2 linked regions of the Stegostoma tigrinum genome follow. The protein of the gene in region 1 binds, or shares a complex with, the protein of each later gene. Links are inferred from orthologs where the notes say so. Each region holds a gene or a part of one and is shown in the gene's direction. Other genes may lie near its edges.

Evidence for each region.
Region 2: ELKS/Rab6-interacting/CAST family member 1-like (region 1) and ppfibp1b share a complex: the UniProt entries of both Homo sapiens proteins name them as parts of the cortical microtubule stabilization complex. The link is inferred for Stegostoma tigrinum from reciprocal best matches to the Homo sapiens genes ERC1 and PPFIBP1.

Annotation. Positions count from the first base shown.
Region 1 is NC_081371.1:20,750,018-20,758,069, forward strand, and holds the start of ELKS/Rab6-interacting/CAST family member 1-like, read left to right. Parts: upstream 1-4,660; 5' UTR 4,661-4,864; intron 4,865-8,052. Other genes in the region: DNA repair protein RAD52 homolog, read right to left, coding at 4,286-4,354. UniProt on the Homo sapiens protein: Regulatory subunit of the IKK complex. Probably recruits IkappaBalpha/NFKBIA to the complex. May be involved in the organization of the cytomatrix at the nerve terminals active zone (CAZ) which regulates neurotransmitter release.
Region 2 is NC_081371.1:46,972,900-46,980,857, forward strand, and holds the start of ppfibp1b (liprin-beta-1b), read left to right. Parts: upstream 1-4,595; 5' UTR 4,596-4,794; intron 4,795-7,958. UniProt on the Homo sapiens protein: May regulate the disassembly of focal adhesions. Did not bind receptor-like tyrosine phosphatases type 2A.

The DNA of each region.
Region 1 (8,052 bases):
GGAGAATTTAAGTAACTCATACGGGTGGTTCTGATGAGTATGATGAGAATAAACAGTATGAAAATATTGTATAATTTGGTGAAAATGGGTCAGGTCATGACTAGCTCATTTCATTGTTGCACTGAATCAGTTAACAGTCGCACCTTAACAGCACATGGGGTTGACTGACAAAACAGTTACTTGCAAACTTTTGACTAGATAAAGTGAAAAAATTAAATTTATTGCTTCACTAAAAACTTTTGTCAATCTTATCTTTCCTTTTTCCACTTGAAGACTTACTTAATGATGGTACATCACCCAGGGCCATGTTTGTGCAATTCCATTAGCAGTTTTATACCAAACCTCATGGAAGGACTATTTTTTAAAAAAAAGTGTGACAATATTATTGTCCCCACAGATAGTCCATTATTTAGGATCAGGGGAGAGGATCTGATAGTTCAAAGGGTAGGGGTCAATTCAGGTAATCTTATGTCTAGTGAAGCATTGACCAGAACAGTCAGATAACTGAAGAAAGGCCACAACGACGGGAGGAACAAGGCACTCTTACAGGTAAATATTAACATTGATTTTTCAAGGAGAGGGCTGTGTGTTTGGCATAAGAAAGCACAGAATTTAAATAAAGAAATATCATTCAAATTTATACAGCATTTCAAGAGGCAAGTTTTGGAGGAAACGATTGTGAAGAATGGAAATCATTAAAACATTATCAATATTTGGAGTCACATTACCACTCCCTGCAACACCCCACCAGTCTGTATCTACTTTTCAGAAAAGACCCATTTATTCCTACTGTTTTCAATAGGCTAACCGGTCTTCTATCCACCTCAATATGCTTCGCTAAACCCATGAGCTTTAAATTTTATATGTTAATTTCATGAGACTTTGTCAAAAGTCTACTGAAAAAAAACAATCAAAATAAGTCAAATCCACTAGCTCTCCTGATCAGCACTACTGGTTTCATTCTTCAGGATTCCAGCGGATCTGTCAACCCTGATTTTCCTTTTGCAAGTCCGTGTTATTTCTGGATCTACCGCTGTTCTTTAAGTGCTATGCTATAAAATCTGAGATAACAAACTCTAGCATTTCTCTCCCCCCTTACCCCTAACTACTGACATTAGACCCACAAGTCTATAAATCCCTCTCCACAGCTCTTTTTCAAGATTAGACTCCCAAGTCTAAAGAATCACAGATGATTGACCACTAAAGCATTCATTATTTCTGCAGCCACTTCAAATACTTGTGTAGATTTTCAAGTCCTAGTGATTTATCAGCCTTTAATCCTATCAATTAGTCCAACAATATTTCTCTACCAGTACAGACTTTCTTCATTTCCTCCCTCTCACTAAACCCTAATCTACAAAGCCAGGTTGAGGTTTGTTGCCAGAAGTTTTGAGAAACATGTCTGCTGCCACTAAATGTGTGTTTGGAGATAAAATTGCATATAATTGGATTAGATTGCTGGTTTCTCCCTCTCTCTCCTTTAGCGATCTGCATTTCCCTTGCTATGACTGCACATAATTTGAAGAATTGGAAACAGGGGATTTAAGTTACAGCAGATAATAGATGCAAAGTGCCATGGGTATTTTAGATCGGTTGGGGGGGGGGGGGGGGGGGGTGGAAAATGCTGCTTGATTGTGTATGATTACACAAGTGGAAAAGTGAAAAGAGTGTCGCTTTGCCCTAATAAGGGGAGATGATCAGGAAGGAGTCAGATTGACACAATCTCTTAGCACAATGAAATTGAAATGCTAATGCTTACGCAGGGACCCCACAAATGATACATCTTTTAAAATCCACCTATAAGGTTCAAATCTTCATTATTCAACTGTGAAGACACTCCGCTGATGAGTACTTTGATTCTACTACTTGCAGGAAGTGACAGACCCATCAAGGCCATGGCTTCTTACAGATGTGAAAGTCAAGTTGTTGCAGCCGTACAACCGTAGGGCTGTGCTCTCATTGAAGAGGGGGAAGAGATGACTTGTAGTCATTTAACCAGAGTATTACCACACCTCAGGCAGGGGAGGGGTTGAGAAGGAGACTCATGGTAATAGCAGCTGGTGCAACAATTCAACTCACACTGCTTGCATCACATATCAGTCAACTGAGCTAATGGAGCTTGAAATGGTATTTTTTTAATGAGACACTTCAAAATAAGTTTGCTACAATGGGAGTAAAGAAGATAGTATATCCATCGAATATTGTGCATAGTCGTTCCTTGAGATAATGCAAACTTGAGTTGGGAAAAAGTTAGAGATTGACTTGCTGACTGAAAACAAATCTGAAGGAAAGGAAATATCAAATTGAAATGACTAAATGCAAGGTCTTGACTATCAGATTTACTAAATGAAATGCATTTACAATGAAATATTGTTACTATTTCTAAAGACAAAGCATGCTGATTAAAGAACCCATTGTCAAATAAATTGTTAAATCAAAGACAATCCCATTCATGACAATAATACTTTGATGTTATTGCATGTAACAAATACTTTAAGGAAGCATACTTATCTGCAAATACTTGTTTTTTTGCTACAGAGCCTGTCTATCCTTGGCAGAAGCACAAAAAAAAATGGAGAGGACAGACTTTTTAAATAAACATAACAGCATGAGAGCACAACAGAAGCAGAAAGAGTAGAAACCCAACCAATGAAGGGCACTTAGGAACATGGGAGAGCAGAGGACCCAAAAAAGCAACAGGAACAAAAGAGAGCAACAGAAAAACAGGAGAGACACTAAAGTTCTTCTTTGACAATGACACCAGAGGTTGCGTTAAGATTTTTTGTAACAAAGTTTGTTGCAGAGTTATGGATCTTATAAAAAAAAACTTTCCTTCCAGTTGTTTTGTTTAAAAATTCTAATGTACACTTGTAAAAGTAAAACACCTAAAGGCAGCAATTTGTAATTGGACATGGAGTGGTGACAGTGTTATGGCATGTTCATTCACATTTACCAACACAGTAAACCGTAAAACAATTCTAAACCTTACATTCTTGAGGTCTTGAAACCTGTTCAAAAGTTTTATTCAAGATAACAAAGTGTGAAGCTGGATGAACACAGCAGGCCAAGCAGCATCTCAGGAACACAAAAGCTGACGTTTCAGGTGTAGACCCTTCATCAGAGGGGAATGGGGAGGGGGGCTCTGGAATAAATAGGGAGAGAGGGGAAGGCGGACCGAAGATGGAGAGAAAAGAAGATAGGTGGAGAAGAGAGTATAGGTGGGGAGGTAGGGAGGGGATAGGTCAGTCCAGGGAAGACAGACAAGTCAAGGAGGCGGGATGAGGTTATTAGGCAGGAGATGGAGGTGCGGCTTGAGCTGGGAGGAAGGGATGGGTGAGAGGAAGAACAGGTTAGGGAGGCAGGGACAGATTGGGCTGGTTTTAGGATGCAGTTGGGGGAGGGAAACGAGCTGGGCTGGTTTTGGGATGCAGTGGGGGAAGGGGAGATTTTGAAGCTAGTGAAATCCACATTGATACCATTGGACTGCAGGGTTCCCAAGTGGAATATGAGTTGCTGTTCCTGCAACCTTCAGGTGGCATCATTGTGGCACTGCAGGAGGCCCACGATGGGCATGTCGTTGGAGGAATGAGAGGGGAAGTTAAAATGGTTCGCGACTAGGAGGTGCAGTTTTTTATTGCGAACCAAGCAGAAGTGTTCTGCAAAGCGGTTCCCAAGCCTCCACTTAGTTTCCCCAGTGTAGAGGAAGCCATACCGGGTACAGTATGGTTTGCACTTTTAATTCCCACTTTAAAGAACTATTAACATAGGAATGGCATATTTTATAAATTTTAAGGATCACCCCTTTCCAAAATTCTGAATCTCTAGAACGTTTACTCTGGAACACTTCCAACAGTAACCTAAAGACAAAGCATTTGCTCTGTGTTAAAGATATAGAAGATATCTCACTCACCACCCCAACTTTTGAATATTCCTTTAGCAATTAAGTACTTGAAGAGAAACTGTTGCTTTAGGCCAGGGACAGGTGCCCATAAAAATGGGAACTTTACAAGTCCGTAAATTTAATGAACACAAATATCCATTTGTTTGCTAAATGTTGGCCTTTATTCCAACTTGAAATGGTCAGTTTTGAGAACTATCTAAACTGCTCAAATAATTGGCAGTGCTCTTCAAAATGCGAATAATTCGTCATCCTTACTGTCTGGGGATAAAATGCTCACATGGATTCTAAAGTGAACTCGCTGTTTATAGAAGTGAAAAGAAAGGCGATTACTCCGAATTAGCGCACAGGTGTCAAAGCACCTGATGGAGTCTTCATACCACCAACCTGCCCAAAACAGACAATTGGAGTGTGCCGACCACAGCGAAGACACAGTTCACTCCGTGCTTCAGACATTTCAGTATAAACGAAGACGTATATAACTAAACACGAGACTACTCAAAACCGCCAAATCATCCAAACGCAATATTACGACGCAAGGTCTGTCGGGAAAATAAATCACGCGAACCAATCCTAATCTGCTCTCTGTCCCGTCCAATCAGAAACGTAGGAGGTGTTCACAGCGCGAAGGCTGCCGGGTGGAAGGACTGGGTTGTACGAAGGATAACAATTCCGCAGAGACTGCTGGGAAGGAGGTCGATTTCCTCTACTTGCATTTTTCCCCCTTCACGCCCTCCACCCCCACCAACCAGGTGGCTCGCAAGGCAGGCTGGGAAACGAAGCCCTGCGTGTGTGTATTGGTGGGGGTGCACAGAAATTGACGTGGTGTTCGTAGGAGGGTTCGTGTCAGTGGAAATCTCTGTAAAACTGGTATTTAGAGAAAGAGGTACCGGTGGTACAAATAAGGTCCGAAGTATCTAGATCAAACACCATCTAAACATCTGATGGGGATTGCGTTAGTGACAGGTGAGTACGTGCCAAGGAGAAGTAGCAGCGCGCGACGTTCTCAACTGTCAACGAGGAGGAAAAGGCAGTGGAATAAGGTGGCGTTTTGGTGTCGGTGTCTCTACCACAGTCAGAGGAGGGAGGGGGTTCAAGGCTTTGCCATGCAATGAGGGGAGGAGTGGACAGACAGAAATACAAGTTGTGGCCCGGCGCGGACACAACCTGTATGGCATTCCGTTGGCAGCACAAGAGACATTTCATCAATTAGAATGATCAAGGACCCACGCAGCCTTTTCTTTTTCTAAGAAGTGCCAGTATGTTTCGCTCTAGGTTTATTCATATCATTGTTCATGCGCGGAGAGTCTCATTCTCATCATAAAGTGTGTTATCAGCTCTCAGATAAACAGATACAAGGGATAGAAAGTATGGAAATTGGATAGTGAGTTTTCAGTTGATATCAAGCCACAGAGTGAAGATTGAGTGATTTGGGCGAACTACATATACTGCAGATTTGTTGGTTTTTATTGTTTAAATTGTACCTTGGATTCTTGTGTAAAATTGCACTTAGTGGTTTTCTCAATGTGTATAATTTTTAATTTTCTGATAATTAGTTAATGTTTAGATAATGGTATTAGGAATCAGATGTTTGTAAGATGACATTGGAATGATTACTGGGCATTGTTCTGCACTCATAGGAATTGGATCTTGTAAAATGACTTCAATTTACAAGTAGTAATTAGTGAGGTTCATTTGCTGGAATAGTTCTAAATTAGTTAATTAGAACTGTGAAATTTTGGTTTTTTTTGGATTCAGAGACAAACTATTCAGTATATGTAAAATTATTCAGGTTGGATGTGCTAACAATTTTAGCCTTTTGTTCCCTCCTGTTGCTTGAAGATCTTTAACCCACGTGTTGCAAAGGGAGTCTAAAGGGTCAGTATGCCTGCTTGTCCCCTCCCCCCCACTGCATCCCAAAACCAGCCCAGCCTGTCGCTGCTTCCCTAACCTGTTCTTCCTCTCACCCATCCCTTCCTCCCACCTCAAGCCGCACCTCCATTTCCTACCTACCACCTCATCCTGCCTCCTCGACCTGTCCGTCTTCCCTGGACTGACCTATCCCCTCCCTACATCCTCACCTAATATCGCCTCTCTACCTATCTTCTTTTCTCTCCATCTTCAGCCTACCTTCCCCTCTCTCCCTATTTATTCTAGTTCCCTCTCCCCATCCCCCTCTCTGCTGAAGGGTCTAGGCCCGAAACGTCAGCTTTTGTGCTCCTGAGATGCTGCTTGGCCTGCTGTGTTCATCCAGCTCAACACTTTGTTATCATGGATTCTCCAGCATCTGCAGTTCCCATTATTCCTGGAATTCTGTTTCTTTTAAACAACATTTCCGATTATCTATGTCATGCTTGATAAATTTAAAAACAACCTTAGGTGTTGCAAAGACACTAAAATTGGCGTATTAGAACCTGCTGAATTCTTAAGAAATTGGTTAGGAACTAAATGATAAACATCAAAGGAACAGAAATTTGTACCTTTGTTTTCGTTAAAGTTGTATCTCCGTTTTCTTCTGGCCAGTACACTCATCTCCACAGTCAAAGACATTCACTATTTGCTAGAGAGTAATGCAACAGATATCTGTTGCTCTCTGAACACTTTTCAAGTCACTGTTAAAGGTCTGTGAATTTTAACTCTGTTGTGAAGGAATGTTTGACGATAGGGAATCGCAGCTGAGCCGCTTCTAGTCCTACCTGACACTAGTCTATTTCCAGCAGCAGTTGCTGCATAGAAAACTAGAAAATCTATCCTATTTTTCACTGCCCAATGGAGGGCTTCTGGGACCAATAGTCATGATTTCATTACTTTGATAATGTAAATGAACATGTGAGTCTAAAACCGTTTTTGATTTTGTATAGCTCATCTATTATCTGAATGTAAATGGAAACCATTAGGACATCTAAGTTTGTAATTCAGCAAAAGTTTTAAAGGAACTTGAGTAATCTTATGTTTTTAATATTAATCTTCTTGACATTTTATAACCTAATAAAACTGCATGTAACAACAACAATTCAGCAAAGAAAAATGCATAGTATGATCATGATATAGAATTTCAAAGCTGAGGAGAAAGAAGGTAAACATACCAAACAGAAAATTAAGTTATCCACAAGTATTTTTTTCCCTCCTCTTCCTCCAGCTATATGTATTGTGGTAGAATGATTACCCCAACACCATTTCATTCACATGGAAAACACTGGTGAAACCTGTGGAATTCAATAAATGACAAGTGTATATTATCATATTTTTATATTTATTGCTGCTAAACCCATAAGCTTATAAAAGGATTTTGCAATTTATAATTTAAAAAGTTGACTGTAGAGCTCTTGCAGGAGTAGCATTAAATGTGAAGAAATAGTGAATGTCTAGTTTGGCAGTTTGTTCAGGACTATATTTGTTGATTGCTGTAATATTCGTCCTTAGTAATGTTATATTTGAGCAAATAGAAGCTAGTTCTAATTGATTATTTCAAATATGTATTAACCTGGAGTTTTCCTTGCACTTGAGAATGAACAGATGCTGAGCAGAAAGACAAGCAGCAGTTTTGCACAGTGTAGCCAAAAGTATGGTCGTGAAATAGTATGAGGAGAAATTTGAAATTGGGGAGAAATTTCAGACGAGCAGTGTAATGGTTGAGAGTGGAATATAATGTCAGCTAGTGGAGTGAAAGATATCTGTAGTTACATATCTGGCAGACTAAAATTATGCAGGTTAACACCTTTTTGGAGGATTCAAAGTGAGAATGAGTGTATTCATGTAGATTTGCTATGGTAATGAAGCTCAGGAAGGTCATGAGACAGTCGATTTTTGTGTCATTGAAGATGCAAAATGTCATTTTAAACTAGTTGGAATTTGACAGGTTCTATAGTTAATCCAGATTGTGTAGAGTAATGAGCTTCAAGGTGAAGAAACCATCAATTAATACCTTTGCAAGCATGACAGAGACATGTGGAAGCAGTAAGTCCTGTGCAGAGCAGCCTCATTGCAAAACCGAACAATCTTCATCCAGAAGTACTGAATGGATGATCCATCTTGGCATTCTCCAGAGGTCCTCAGCTTCACAGATGTCAGTCTTCAGCCGACTTGATTTACTACATATGATGTTGGAGGGCCTGGATACTGCAAAGGTTTTGAGTCCTGACAATATTCCAACA
Region 2 (7,958 bases), about 26 Mb from region 1:
GAAAAATAAGCCTCATGCAATGTTCTGCTTCATTCCCATTAGGGGAAGGAAACTTGAGCCATTGAAATTTCATAACAAGGAGTTGCTAGAAGAGACCAAGGTTGTATTGTTTTAAAGAAAGGCTTCTTCGCATAAGGAGCTGCAAGAGTTTGGAATTGTCTACTCAAAAGAGCTGTGAGTACTCAATCTTTGTTAATATTCAAGACTGAGATTAATAGATTTTTGTGTACTCAGTGAGTTAAGGGATTTGGAGAGAGAGCAGAAGGTAAGTTGAGGGAAAAGATCAGCCATAATCTTCGTTGGATGGAAGAATAGGCTTGAAGAGTCAAATGTCTTCCATCTGCTTCTATTTTTCTCTCTCTCTTTGGAAAAGTTGTTGTGTGTGCATTGAGAGATATAGAAGAGAATATAATTACATTTTTCGGAGACCTGTCAAAATCTTGACTTGCCCTCCCTATTGGCATTAAGGGTCTACCTACAGCAAATGGACTATAGCAATCAAGAAGACAGTTCACCATCACTTTCCCAACTAGGGATGGGCAATAAGTCCTGGCACTGCCAACAATGTTCAAATTGCATAAATGAATAAAAAAAATTTCCTGAAAAAAGAAACCGGGCAAACACAAGAAAGTCAAATTTCAAACCATCTCAAATTTCACATTTTTACATTTATTCAGATGAATGCAAGAGGAAAAGATTTGACAACATGAGAAAATGGTGAAAGATCATTTGCATAGTTGGTAAATTGTTGACAGAGATATTATGTTCAATTTTAACCAGCACAAAAACTCAGCTGCACAGTTAACACTGTGAGAAGAATGTCAAGGAACGTAACATTATATGAAGGGCGCAGTCTCCATTATAATGTAGGAGAATGACAACACTTCACCAGTATTTTGTTCACAACCGATGTTAGGGATTTCCTGAGGCCTATAATGGGTAAGTTAACAGCAGAAGGGTTTTCAAATGCCGTACCTGTGCTAATAAACTGAATGCTGGTTTATAACTGGTAGATGGTGATGCAATGGTATGTCACCATGCTAGTAGTACTAGAGTCTCAGGCTCATGTTGTGGGGACATATCCTCATGGTTCACTCAAACCATCCAAAATTCCATAGCTAATCCTTTTAGAACTCACTGTACTCCACACTTAAATTTAAAGTAAGCAGAAGAGTGCATGACCATATTTCTGGGAATGATGAGAGTTCTGACATAGGGGAGGCCTTATAATCGCAGCCAAAAGGACTGGTAAATATACTGCTCATACTCTGCTGCCTATGAGCAGTGATTCAAATGCAAATGCTCTGAATCAAACAGTGTATCATTTTTCAGAGTGCTGATTAGGACGTAAAAGAAAGATAATGTGATCACTGACTTAAATCACAGTGGTGTGACAACAGCTTGCATTTAAGTAATATTTTTATTAGTCACTTGGTACTTCAGAACTTGAATATTGCTGAAAAGAGAGAGATGTTGTCCAGGTTTTTCATTTTACACACATTAGGATAGATACAAGACTGACAAATTTCAAGTAATCACGGCACACTAGCTTGGAGAGCCGTTAGTCCTGCATTGCTTTCTTTACAGCAATGCATTAGTGAAATGGAGTAAATTAGCTGACCAATCAGAGCCTTTTCTCCATGATATAAATCATTATAACGGTTTGAAACCTGGCATTCTTGCATTTGACCTGATGAGTACAAAGCGAACAGTTTCACCAACATGTTCAGCAACATTGAAAGGTTTTAAATACTCAGTCTTTGATAATATTCAAGACTGAGACCATTAAGATTTTTGAGTACTCAGGAAATTCGGGGATTTGGGTTGAGAGCAGAAGGTAAATTGAGGGAAAAGATCAGGCATATCTTATTGGATGGACGAAAAGGCTTGAAGAGTCAAACAGCCTTCCTCTGCTTCCATTTCTCACTGTTTTGGAAAAGTGTAACTTTTGCCCTGAGAGGTATAGAAGAGAATATATTAAGTATTGTGGGTCTACCTATAGCGAAGGGACTGCAGCAGTTCAAGAAGATTATTCATCACCACTTTCCTATGGGCAACTAGGGATGGGCAATAAATGCTAGTGCAGCCAGCACATCCAGATTCCATTACTGAATAATAAAATGAAAGTTGCTGAGAAGAAGCACATACTGCCAAAGGTATTCCTCTTGAATTTATCAGGATGAACAGAAAAATGCCAAATTTCAAACAATCTCAAACTTCACATTTTGCATGAAAAGATTCAACAACATGAGAAAATGGTGAAAGATCATTCTAATAGTTGGCAAATTGTTGACAGGGGGATATTAGGCTCAATTTTAACCCAAGTCTTTTTATAGGAATTGAACACAGAGCTATGTAAAGAGACATTAGTGCAGACGGTCAAAAGTTAGGTCAGAGAAGCAGATTATAACGACCATCTCAAAGAAGGAGGGAAAGGCAGAGATGTGGAAATGTTCAAAGAGGGAATGTTAGAGTTACAACATGTCATAAATGGGAAAAACCAGTGAAGACTTAACTGATATATTTTCAAGGTAACAGAAGTGTGGAAGTGGGTGAACATAGCAGGCCAAGCAGCATCTTAGGAGCACAAAAGCTGACGTTTCGGGCCTAGACCCTTCATCAGAAAAGGCCTTTTCTGATGAGGGGTCTAGGCCCGAAACGTCAGCTTTTGTGCTCCTTAGATGCCGCTAGGCCTGCTGTGTTCATCCAGCTCTACACTTTGCTATCTCAGATTCTCCAGCAACTGCAGTTTCCATTATCTCCGTTATATTTTCAAGTCAGGATTGTATGGGGCTTGAAAGTAAATTTCCAGGAAGTGGTGTTCTCATGTATCTGGTGTCCTTGTCCTTCTTGATCACAGAGATTGAGGTATTTAGAAAATGCTGTCTAAGAAGCCTTGCTGAGTTGTCACAGTACATCTTTTAGATAGAATAGATTGGTGTCTGTTGAATCAGTGGTTGACTCTTAAGTTCTGTTAAGTTAAAAGGCAAAAGCAAGAAGGAGAGGCAGACCCAGTCTAACTTCTGTGGAGTATTCATCATCAGGATTTGTCATTGACAAAGACATCAAAGGAGAAATGGGGAAACAGGCTCGACGGGCTAAATGGCCTCCTCCTGCTCCTATTTTCCATATTGCTCTGTGGTCCTACCGAGATTCTCCTTCAAGGGGTAATGCTTTGCACCCACTCGAACAATAAAATCTTAGAAACCCTATAGTGCAGAAAAAGGCCATTCAGCCTAGTGAGCCATTTGGATCAAGGTCAATTGCAGAAGGATTCTTTCGATACTGCAGCACTCCCTCAAACAGGGCAGCACTCCTTCAGTAACGCTCCTCAGGATTCATTAAAAATGTGCTGCCATTAGTGTGGCAGACAAAATTTCCTATGAATGGATGTTCTTTTACAAGTGTCAACAAGTAGTTCAAGCTAGTGTATTGCATCTAATTCTGCAGACAATCCTCTAATAAGGATGTCAAAGTGTAATTTTGGGACAAAAATAGAAATTGCTGGAAAAGCTCAGCAGGTTCAGCAGCATCTGTGGAGCGAAATCAGAGTTAATCATTTGGATTGAGTGACCCTTCCTCAGAATTTAGAGATAACGTTTCGGGTAAAGTGGCCCTTCCTCAGAATTAGAGTTGAGTAATAAATGCTGACCATTTCAGTAATTTCCAAAAACCACAAATTAATAAAAAGGATCATGACAATGTGGTGCTGATTTATTGTGATGGCAACAGGGATGAGGGACTTTGGTTACGTGGAACGATGACAGCAGCTCTACTCCTGTACTTAGAAGAATGTATAGCAACTTTATTGAAACATACATGATTCTAAGGAGACTTAAAGCAATGGCGCAGTTGCTCAGTAGTTGGCACTGCTGTCTCCAGTACCAGAGACTCAGGTTTTGAGCAACTGTCTATGTGGAGTTTGTACGTTCTTACTGTGTCTGCATGGGTTTCTGTAGCATGCTTCAGTTTCCTCCCACAGTCCAAAAATGTGCAAGTTAGGTGGATTGACCATGCTAAGTTGTCTGTAGTGCCCAGGGATGTGCAGGCAAGGTGGGTTAGCTATTGTAAATTAAGGATTATAGGGGAGGGGCCAGGTTTGGGTGAGATGCTTTTCGGAGGGTTGGTGCAGACTTGATGGGCTGAATGGCCTTTTTCTGCACTGTAGGGTTTCTAAGATTTTATTGTTCGAGTGGGTGCAAAGCATTACCCCTTGAAGGAGAATCTCGGTAGGACCATAGAACAATATGGAAAATAGGAGCGGGGGAGGCCATTCAGCCCTTCGAGCCTGTTTCCCCATTTCTCCTTTGATGTCTTTGTCAATGACAAATCCTGATGATGAATACTCCACAAAAGTTAGACTGGGTCTGCCTCTCCTTCTTGCTTTCGCTTTTTAACTTTACTGCTCATTGATACACTCCCTCGGCACTCCAACTCACTGCCACAGTCACCGCCTCAACAAGGGACCCCGCCCTCGCCACGAGACAGACAGCCGGCGGGACCAATCGCAAGGATGAGTAGCGGACAGTAGGCGGGGCCAGGTGGGGGCCAATCGATGGTGGCTAAGGGGCGGGGTTTGCCGGACGTCACGTGACGGGCGGGTGGTAGGCTGGCGGCCGAAGGAGTGAGAGACTGTATTGTGTGAGGTGGGGCGGCTGGCCGAGTAACCGACCGATTGGTGTCCACTCCCCTCACGCCCGTTCCGCGGGGCGGAGAGAAGGTGACTTCCATCGCGTGGTGCCGCCGCCCCTCCTCCTCCACCACCTCCTGAAAGAGGGTCTCTGCCTGTGGCAGGTAGGTGGGCGCGGAGATCCTTGCGGCCCTGCTCCCTCCCGCTTGACGGGTTTCAGGAGGAGGCCGGAGGGTCAGGGAATAGGGCCGGCAGCTGGCATGGCGGCGGGAACCGTTAAATCAGGCGCGCGCTTCTGCCCCCGGGGCATCGGGCACTACCAGCAGAGCAACCCCTTAGCTCCCGTTCATCCCCACCCCGCCCCCGGGTCGGAATACCCTCACCATGTCCAATATAGACCCGTCACCTTTCTTCCCAGCCCCGCCGTGTGGTCCGAATCCACACCCCCAGCCCCCGTCCGACATAGACCCGTCACATTCTCTTCTCTTTTCCCCCTCCCCGCTGTCCGAATGCTCCACCATTTCCGATATTCTCCAACCTCGCCCCGACGCTTTCCCCTCCTCCGCACCCCCCCCCCCGCCTGCCTGACATTCCCCCCGCCCCGTTCCCCTCCCCCTCGTCCTGTCTGCCACTTCACGCCCCCGTCCTGTCTGACTGCCCTCTCACACCACCACCCCCCCCCCCCGTCCCGTCCCGTCCCATCCCATCCCGTCCCGTCCGCCTTCTCTTCCCCGCTCCTCCCCTCCCTCACCAACCCCCGGCCCCCTCCACTCTAATCCTCCCGACACTCCACGCCTCTCCCCACCCCCCCCCCACCCCGACCCCCTCCTCCTCCCCCCCACCCCGACCCCTTCCTCCCCCCCACCCCGACCCCTTCCTCCCGACCCCTTCCTCCCGACCCCTTCCTCCCGACCCCTTCCTCCTCCCCCCCCCCCACCCCGACCCCTTCCTCCTCCCCCCCCCCACCCCGACCCCTTCCTCCTCCCCCCCCCACCCCGACCCCTTCCTCCTCCCCCCCCCACCCCGACCCCTTCCTCCTCCGACCCCCCCGCCGCTTTCCCCCCGCAACCCCATCCTCTCCCCCCGACCCCATCCTCTCCCCCCGACCCCATCCTCTCCCCCCGACCCCATCCTCTCCCCCCGACCCCGACCCCATCCTCTCCCCCCCCGACGCCATCCTCTTCTCTCCCCCCCCCGACCCCCTCCTCTCCCCCCCCCCGACCCCCTCCTCTCCCCCCCCCCGACCCCCTCCTCTCCCCCCCCCGACCCCCTCCTCTCCCCCCCCCCGACCCCCTCCTCTCCCCCCCCCCGACCCCCTCCTCTCCCCCCCCCGACCCCCTCCTCTCCCCCCCCCCGACCCCCTCCTCTCCCCCCCCCCGACCCCCTCCTCTCCCCCCCCCGACCCCCTCCTCTCCCCCCCCCCGACCCCCTCCTCTCCCCCCCCCGACCCCCTCCTCTCCCCCCCCCGACCCCCTCCTCTCCCCCCCCCGACCCCCTCCTCTCCCCCTCCTCTCCCCCTCCTCTCCCCCTCCTCTCCCCCCCCGACCCCCTCCTCTCCCCCCTCCTCTCCCCCTCCTCTCCCCCCCCGACCCCCTCCTCTCCCCCCCCGACCCCCTCCTCTCCCCCCCCGACCCCCTCCTCTCCCCCCCCGACCCCCTCCTCTCCCCCCCCGACCCCCTCCTCCCCCCCCCACCCCGACGCCATCCTCTCCCCCCCTGCCATCCTGTCCCCCCCGACCCCCTCCTCTCCCGAACCCCTCCTCTCCCCCCCCCGACCCCCTCCTCCCCCCCCCCACCCCGACGCCATCCTCTCCCCCCCTGCCATCCTGTCCCCCCCCCCTCCTCTCCCCCCCCGACCCCCTCCTCTCCCCCCCCGACCCCCTCCTCTCCCCCCCCGACCCCCTCCTCTCCCCCCCCCCCACTCCGACGCCATCCTCTCCCCCCCCCGCCATCCTGTCCCCCCCGACCCCCTCCTCTCCCGAACCCCTCCTCTCCCCCCCCCCACCCCGACGCCATCCTCTCCCCCCCTGCCATCCTCTCCCCCCCTCCTCCTCTCCCCCCCCGACGCCATCCTCCCCCCCCCCCCCCCCCGGCGCCATCCTCTTCCCCCCCCCGGCGCCATCCTCTTTCCCCCCCCCGGCGCCATCCTCTTTCCCCCCCCCGGCGCCATCCTCTTTCCCCCCCCCGGCGCCATCCTCTTCCCCCCCCCCGGCGCCATCCTCTTCCCCCCCCCCGGCGCCATCCTCTTCCCCCCCCCCGGCGCCATCCTCTTCCCCCCCCCCCGGCGCCATCCTCTCCCCCCCCCCGGCGCCATCCTCTCCCCCCTCTCCTCCCCCCCCCCCTCCTCCCCCCCCCCCTCCTCTCCCCCCCCCCTCCTCTCTCCCCCCCCCTCCTCTCTCCCCCCCCCTCCTCTCTCCCCCCCCCTCCTCTCTCCCCCCCCTCCTCTCTCCCCCCCCTCCTCTCTCCCCCCCCTCCTCTCTCCCCCCCCTCCTCTCTCCCCCCCCCTCCTCTCTCCCCCCCCCTCCTCTCTCCCCCCCCCTCCTCTCTCCCCCCCCTCCTCTCTCCCCCCCCTCCTCTCTCCCCCCCCTCCTCTCTCCCCCCCCTCCTCTCTCCCCCCCCTCCTCTCTCCCCCCCCTCCTCTCTCCCCCCCCTCCTCTCTCCCCCCCCTCCTCTCTCCCCCCCCCTCCTCTCTCCCCCCCCTCCTCTCTCCCCCCCCTCCTCTCTCCCCCCCCTCCTCTCTCCCCCCCCCTCCTCCCTCTCCCCCCCCCTCCTCCCTCTTCCCCCCCCCTCCTCCCTCTTCCCCCCCCTCCTCCCTCTTCCCCCCCCCTCCTCCCTCTTCCCCCCCCCTCCTCCCTCTTCCCCCCCCCACCCCCTCTTCCCCCCCCGACCCCCTCTTCCCCCCCCGACCCCCTCTTCCCCCCCCGACCCCCTCTTCCCCCCCCGACCCCCTCTTCCCCCCCCGACCCCCTCTTCCCCCCCCGACCCCCTCTTCCCCCCCCGACCCCCTCTTCCCCCCCCGACCCCCTCTTCCCCCCCCGACCCCCTCTTCCCCCCCCGACCCCCTCTTCCCCCCCCGACCCCCTCTTCCCCCCCCGACCCCCTCTTCCCCCCCCGACCCCCTCTTCCCCCCCCGACCCCCTCTTCCCCCCCCCGACCCCCTCTTCCCCCCCCCGACCCCCTCTTCCCCCCCCCGACCCCCTCTTCCCCCCCCCGACCCCCTCTCCCCCCCCCCGACCCCCTCTCCCCCCCCCCGACCCCCTCTCCCCCCCCCCCGACCCCCTCTCCCCCCCCCGACCCCCTCTCCCCCCCCCCGACCCCCTCTCCCCCCC